Linked DNA regions of Mytilus edulis. The protein of the gene in region 1 interacts with the protein of each later gene in a biochemical or structural test. Links are inferred from orthologs where the notes say so. Each region holds a gene or a part of one and is shown on either strand. Other genes may lie near its edges.

What was found. The genes of interacting proteins can lie anywhere in the genome.
Region 2: the proteins of poly [ADP-ribose] polymerase 2-like (region 1) and histone PARylation factor 1-like form a complex in vitro, tested with the Homo sapiens proteins (2 studies listed by BioGRID). The link is inferred for Mytilus edulis from reciprocal best matches to the Homo sapiens genes PARP2 and HPF1.

Annotation. Positions count from the first base shown.
Region 1 is NC_092348.1:64,697,739-64,701,499, reverse strand, and holds the start of poly [ADP-ribose] polymerase 2-like, read left to right. Parts: upstream 1-1,354; 5' UTR 1,355-1,463; coding exon 1,464-1,485; exon of another isoform or gene 1,486-1,507; intron 1,508-3,105; coding exon 3,106-3,287; intron 3,288-3,761. UniProt on the Homo sapiens protein: Poly-ADP-ribosyltransferase that mediates poly-ADP-ribosylation of proteins and plays a key role in DNA repair.
Region 2 is NC_092351.1:3,002,471-3,006,231, reverse strand, and holds the start of histone PARylation factor 1-like, read left to right. Parts: upstream 1-1,508; 5' UTR 1,509-1,553; coding exon 1,554-1,661; intron 1,662-3,761. Other genes in the region: chromosome-associated kinesin KIF4A-like, read right to left, coding at 1,215-1,217. UniProt on the Homo sapiens protein: Cofactor for serine ADP-ribosylation that confers serine specificity on PARP1 and PARP2 and plays a key role in DNA damage response.

The sequences.
Region 1 (3,761 bases):
GTAACATCATGTGCACCATTCAAGAGTTTGAAAGTGTTTTAAAGTTAAGGAAATATATTAAGAGCATGGTGATTTGATAAAATTCATTATTCTGAAAAAGTTAATATACGCATGTGCAAACAAATTTTATTGGATTTAGAGCATAGATTTGTTCACAAAGCGAAAGAAGCACGTCATATTAGAATTTAGTTCAACCTTTTAAGAAGCAATATTTAAAACCCAGCACTAAAAAAAATACCTATTCCTATCCAGCTGGGCTCAGGATTTTATCATACACCAGACCATGATACCTGTTTATGATCGTTTATAATGTGTCTTACATTCATACATGCCTTCAATGCTTTACATTCTTTTCTTTTTTTTATTTTTTGAAATTTAAAATTTTAAAATTATTTAATCAGACTGGAATTGGTCAAAACCCATAATTTGATATGTATATTATTTCAAAGCATTAGAAAAAAATATAAAAGGTGGCTTATATAAGTATTTATGATGATTTTTCCTCTTTTTTTTCCTCTTTTTTTTTGATAACTTTGAAACGCACTATAAGGATCTAGCAAGGTCGACAATTATTGAAGAATTCAGTATAAAAAGAAAATACGAACAGTATGACAGATGATTTTCTAGGAAATAGTTGTGTGTCGATCTTTGCAAATATTACCAATAAATTATACATGTTATATCTCTTACCAATTCTACTGATTATATAGTACTGAAAAACTGTATAGTTTTAATTTAATAAAAAGAGATCTTTTCTTACGCATATGAAATTCTGTCATTCATTCAATTATACCTTACAAATCCTTGATATACAAAGGGAGATAATTACTAGAGAACTGAATAAGAATGTTGCATTTGCAGTAAAATATACTTGTCTGTATCAATATAGAAACAGTATATATATAAATCCTTGATAAATCACTTTAAAAAAAAACTGTAAAAACTCTTGATAAAACTATTTAGAATGATTTTCTTTATGTTTTTTTTTCAGAAGCAAGTCAAAGACAGTGGCGGATCCAGAAATTTTCATAAGTGGGGGCCCACTGACTGACCTAAGAAGGGGCCCGCTCCAGTCACGCTTCAATAATTACCTATATAAGCAACCAATTTTTTTCCCAAAAAGGGGGGGCCCGAGCCCCCTGCCCCCCCCCCCCCCCCCCCCATATCCGCCTCTGAAAGACTCTTGAATTTAGTTTTAAGAGACCCATATGATGTTACATGCCTCTAGCTTTATGTTTGTATAGTTGTTTTTATTAAACATTGACAAACACAGTAGGGCGTAGTAATTGTTTCCAATCGGGCACGTGCCGAATAAAGATGTTTTCATTTAGGTCCGCGTTCATATCGTAGAAATTCGTTTCATAAAATTATCATTTCTATAAATAGTTCATCAAGCGTAATCTTTCAAAACAGAAAATCCTACCGTCATCAAAAAAGAAATTAGCAGTGTTATACAAATTAAAATGCCAAGAAGGAAGAAAACAGGTGAGAAAAAGACATTCAACAAGTAATTGTCAGCTATATCCAATGCATGTCACAGTGATTTGCTTTAAGGTTCATCAGTGATGGCAGTATTTACACCACAAAAAGTCGATTTTTGTTTATATCTTCTATAAATACAGACAAACTTATACATTTAGGAAAGTTTAAAGGAAGGGCAGGACCTACATCTAGCTTAATTTATACGTAGGTTATGTTAAAGAGTTGTCTGGAATTTGATGTGCATTTTTTTAGTCTGCATAAGTCTAGATTATGTAGCAAAATAAACAAACACATGTGTTTCATAAATTTGACATGGTTCTTCCAGTTACACAGCTAAAATCAGGTACAAAACAACTCATTCTTTCAGCAACTAATACTCAACCAAAATGGTACCCATGATTTATTTGATATTATTTACATACATAGTTGTTGTAACTTTCTTTCATATAATATCATTATATATCATATGTTTAGTACAAAATACAACAATTTTGTATATCTAATAAAGGTTCTTTTTTCCAGTCTGTATCACCTACCCTGTATCGCATACCCCGTATCACATGGCTAAACCCGTATCGCATACCCCGTATCACATACCTGGCATGACGTCACAATTCGAATGACATCAATGTTTGACCTATGACGTCCAGTTGCTGTTCCTACTAAAGAAAATGTCATATCATTTCAACTTAAATCGATATTTAAAAAAAAATCATTACCCAGTAACTTTACTAGGGATTTTCATAAAAAATAAATACAATAAGATGTAGAAATGGCTGTAAAAACTGTAAAAGAAAAAGGCAGCTGAAAAAATAGGAAAATCATAATGTTCTTTTCTTCCTTATATTTTCGGACGATTTAAAAAAAACGGATATTGCATGAATCTGATTCTGTAAAAATATATGATAAACCATGTAAACAGAATAATACATGGCAAAATCCGTATCGCATGCTGTATCACCACTCGACCAATATAAACCCTCGGGACTGATATTGGTTTCTCATGATGATACAGCATGCGATACAGATTTTGTCATGTATTATTCTATATATATAGCACGGGGAAATAACTGCAAGTCAGCTTATCCGCATGTATGGTTGTTGAACGGGTCCGTCATGTCCGTCGGCTGATTAAAAGACATGTCCAAGGCAATATTCTGTAAAATATCCTTTTCAAATAATCTATGGATCGTGCAAACTTGAGGATTTTTTTTTTAAATGTAAATCATATTAGTAGATCAACTACAAAATAATAAAAGATGAAGCATTATAATGTTTAAAAATATTGGGTACAATTTGGTAGAAGTATGAGTTAAAATAAAAAGAGCTGATTTTAATTAATTAATGAAAACTTGCTAATTATAAGTCAGAGCTCAGACATAAATAAGTTTGAATCTGCTTTTGACTCATAGAGGTTTAAATTTGTAAGTTTTAGGATTTGTCTCCCTTTAATGCAAGACAAAATACGACTTTAATAAGTCAAATATTGTTAAGCAAGAAATAATTGACCAGAATAAAAAAGTTGCAAATATCGACTCCTACGAGTCGATAAGTTATCGAAATTGGTTAACTTTAGCGTTCAATCTTGATTAATCATTTTTCATATTTTTCATTCCACTACAGATACAACTGAAGATGGCAGTGGAGATACAGTACCAACAAAGAAATCAAAACTTGCAATTGGATCACAAATTGATGGTGTAACAGTGAGATGGGAATGGGAAGGAGACAAATCTACCTGGACAAAATACTCTGATGATAAAAATGAAAGTATTACTGATGCTTTCAATTTAAAGAAACCATCTGTGAGTCGAAATAAAAAAATATATTATTGTACAAAGTAAATGTTCCTATCAATTTCAAACTATTTGTAGACCAAACAAAATATTACTTCTACAGACATGACAGAACAAACTAAATGTAACTATTATTGTATAAAGTAATATTAAAGTTCAAAGTTACTACAAGTATAACAAGTTCAGAGTAAGAACATATAAACTATTACATGTATTATAGTTAAGTACAATGTTTAAAGTAAATGTATTCCTTTTTTATCCTCTATTGATTACATTGTTCTATTTTTCTCTCAAGAATGTTACAAATCTAGTTTATCATTATTATTAGTTCAAACTAAATGAATTGGTTATTATACAACTTCGTATAATGTTCAGTACAGTTTAGTGAATATTGTTGTCAAAAGCATTAAGGTGTATCTAATTTCATCATATTTTCAGTTATATTTAAAAGAAAGGAGAAAGATACCAGAGGGACATTTAAAC
Region 2 (3,761 bases), on another chromosome or scaffold:
TTTTTCCTACCTACCGACCCTTCAGTCTGAAGGTACAGTCGGAAAACTGCAAACAAACATATTTTTAAGGTTGGCCTTACCGCAATGTTAAACAACTTAACATATACTCTGACAGCCAATCCGCCATAGGCATTATAACCTTAAATTGGAAATCAGAAAACTATCACAAAACCATACAAGAAATCAAAAACAGGAAAATAAAATTGGAACAAAAGGGTTTTAGTATCAACATCATTTGGACACCTGGGCACTCTGATATAGAGGGAAATGAACAGGCTGACCGTCTAGCAAAAGCAGCGGCAAAAGAGGCAGATAATAGGGAGGAAATGTCTTCAATCACGACAAAACAAGACATCAAACAAGCGGCGAGAACGTCAGTCATTCAAAAATGGAAGACACAATGGGAATCTAGTGAGGTTGGGAGAAGATTTTTTAATCATCACCCAGATGCATCAAAAAGAATCAAACTAGACTTCCCATCAAAAAAACACTTCAATATACTAAACAGTCTCAGATCAGGATACTCCAAACTAAAGGGGTATCAACATTTCATTAACAGACATGTAGAAGACAACAAATGTACTTGCGGAGAAATAGAATCTGTAGAACATTTTTTATTATCTTGTGACAATTACAGTTTGGATAGAGAAAAACTCCGCCAGTCAATATATTTCAAAACAGGAACACTTAATCTAGATCTAGAAGAATTACTTAACACAGAAGCCAGTGCAGACATACAATATGCAGTTTCCAAGTTTATAGACGATACTAGAAGATTTGATCATTTGTTTTTATAAATCAGTATCAACAGCGCCTACCTAAATTAAAGTGAAAGTACAAAGAGAAAATACAAACGTGATTAATGTATCCAAACGCGCAAGTCACCAAAGTACATATGAGAAAATCAGTGTCAAGATGACGCATACTAAAGACTAAAGACTAACAACAGAACCAAAATCGGCAACGTTACAGTATTTCCAATTCTTTTTTTAAATAAATATTTAAATTATAAAAAATAATTCATAGACTTCGTCCTCATTTACAGGTAATGCCTGCCTCATATTAGTTTTAAAATATTGGTTCTTGCTCCTATTTTGACTGGAATTTGAAATATTTTAATTCCAGTCAAAATAAGAGCAAGAACTGATATTTTAAAATTATTATTTACAATTTACATTGTATTAAAATAAAGTTTTACAAAGAGGAAAGTGTACCATTGCTATTCTTTAACAACTAAAACTGCAATGAAAAGGAAGAAAATAAAACAATTTCACTGGAGTCCAGCTCCAGGTTTGCTCTCCAAGGTATTTGTGTAAATACACAAGAAATGATGACGTCAGGTAATTTTTTTCGGGAGAATTACTTGACTCATTAAATTTTCAATTGAATTATGTTTATCTGTTTATTGACAATCAGGTATCGAATAGTATAAAATAAAATTGTAAATTCGAACTCAAATTTTGGTGTATCTATTCTATAATTTCCTAATTCAATTAATAATGATTTCTAATAAAGACTCCCGGCGTTGAACTCTTTTGCATGAAGACACAAAAATGGCATCAAAAGAAGAAAAGCCGCTGTGTAAATTTGGAGCTAATTGTTATAGAAAGAACCAACAACATATACAAAATTACAGACATCCGAAGAGAAAAAACGATTCTGTATACAAAATTATACAATCTTGATTTTATATTTATTTACTTTTACGATTGCTGTAAAACTGCTTTCCTTTTAATTTAAGGTGCCCGCCAAAATTGGCAAAAATCGGTATCAAGACGTTTCGGCCATGGGACCGGTTCGGCAATGGTCGTTTCGGGCAGATACACTTCGGACATATAATGAAAACTGGAGATTTTCACCCTCCCACACACATATCTAGTTGCCAGACCGGAGTTTAAAATAATATAAGCAGGCATTACCTTATAGTCGCCGTCATGTAAAATTGGCACCATGTTTTTGTCAAAATGTTCTTAAATATCGACCGTGTTTACTAAAGATGATGTTTTTCAAGTAGTGGAATCAAATATCATTCCAAAAATCAACTACTGTCCTACCTTTTATTGTGTTTGCACTGCATAATCCTGACCTTCACATAATCCTAGATTAATTTGTATGGTGGAATCCGACATTGTTATTACCGGAAGTGTTGCTGTGGAGTTCCACGTGCTCTCCATTTTCTTGTGTCTCTCATAGCTTTTCGTCATCTTTACGTAAAAAGCACGGGAAATTGTATCATCAATGACAATGATATTACCGGAGAGTAACAAATGTTATGTACAATGTAATAAGGGACCCTCATAGAAACCAAGATGGCGGTTATAGAATGTAAATAATCTTGAAAAATGTGAAGGTCAGGATTATACAGTGCAAACACAATAAAAGGTAGGACAGTAGTGGATATTTGGACAGGATTTTACTTCCGCTAAAAGAAAAACATCATCTTGATCGAGTAAACGCGGCTGATATTTAAAATTTTTTTAACAAATAACATGGTGCCAATTTAACGTGACGGCGACTATAGTCCGAGATGACGTCCAACGGCTGTTTTGCCAGACAAGCTGGGCCGTGGGACGTCAGAGCTTGTCCCTTATCAAAAAAGTGGATATTTGCCCACCCAAAATAGATGCGCTGCTTCGTCGCTTCTGGTGCCGATTGAGGGCCTTGGAATTATATAAATCAGGCATCAATCTGTTCATTTTTCATTTATCTCTTCATTTATGTAAGTTTCACCTACCTGCCAACCTTTATTTTTCCATATTTTAACAGTTTTCACAGAGACCCATCGATTTTCTGCATTTTGACTTTTTTCCCCCCCGATTTTTTTTTTTCTTTATTGATTTTTCTACTGTTATTGGGGACTTTATCCCCATATAATTGGTAATTAGTGGGCCTCTGTACTCAGTCTAGGCTAGAGGTGTCAGAGTCCACCAATTACAAATCCCTATCTGTTCAACCAAATTTTGCAATTTTCACAGCTATCTAAATATTTCACCTTAAGTTTAACTTCATAGAAACCAGGTATATCCTGAATTGTACATGTATCACCTTTCTACATGCCAATTTTCAACCCACATGACCCATGTTTAAAATAAATTTGAGAAAGAATTGCCTTTGGGAAAAGAACTACTCCAAAAATAACCCCTGGTTTTCTGGAAATCTTAAATTTGTATACTATGTAGCACATTAATCCTGATTTTTTAATGCAAACTCATAGACAAGTGAATTTGGCTGAAAATGGTCTAAATATTTTTCTCTTTCCCCATAAGTCTAACTTCTGCTAATTTGTTGGTTTGTTTAAGTTAACAATTGTGCAAAATTTATCTTTAACAGGGCTCACACTACTTCAGAATTATAGGGAGAAGTGACTTCTCTTTTTGAAACTGATAGGGAGAAGTGGTGAGATTTGAAAGAGAAGTGCTCATTCACGCAGTGCACTACAATGTTTGGATTTTACAATAGTATAAAGGGCCATATGTAAATAATGTTCTTTTTATATTGTTCAATTCATATCTGAGTAAAAAAAATACAATTAAAGTAACATTTGAAATTAAAAGTTGTTTAAGTTTTACTAAGGTTCTTGTGAGAAACTACCAACTAAATATCTAGCACTAAAAAAAAAAAAAATATTTTAAAAAATGTAAAGAAATTATAATATATCAATTACAATTTAATTAAAAATTATCTTGTGTATGAAATTCGGTGTTTCTCATAAAAAAATATCAAAGTTATTAAGCTGGGCCATAATATATTGATATTAGTAT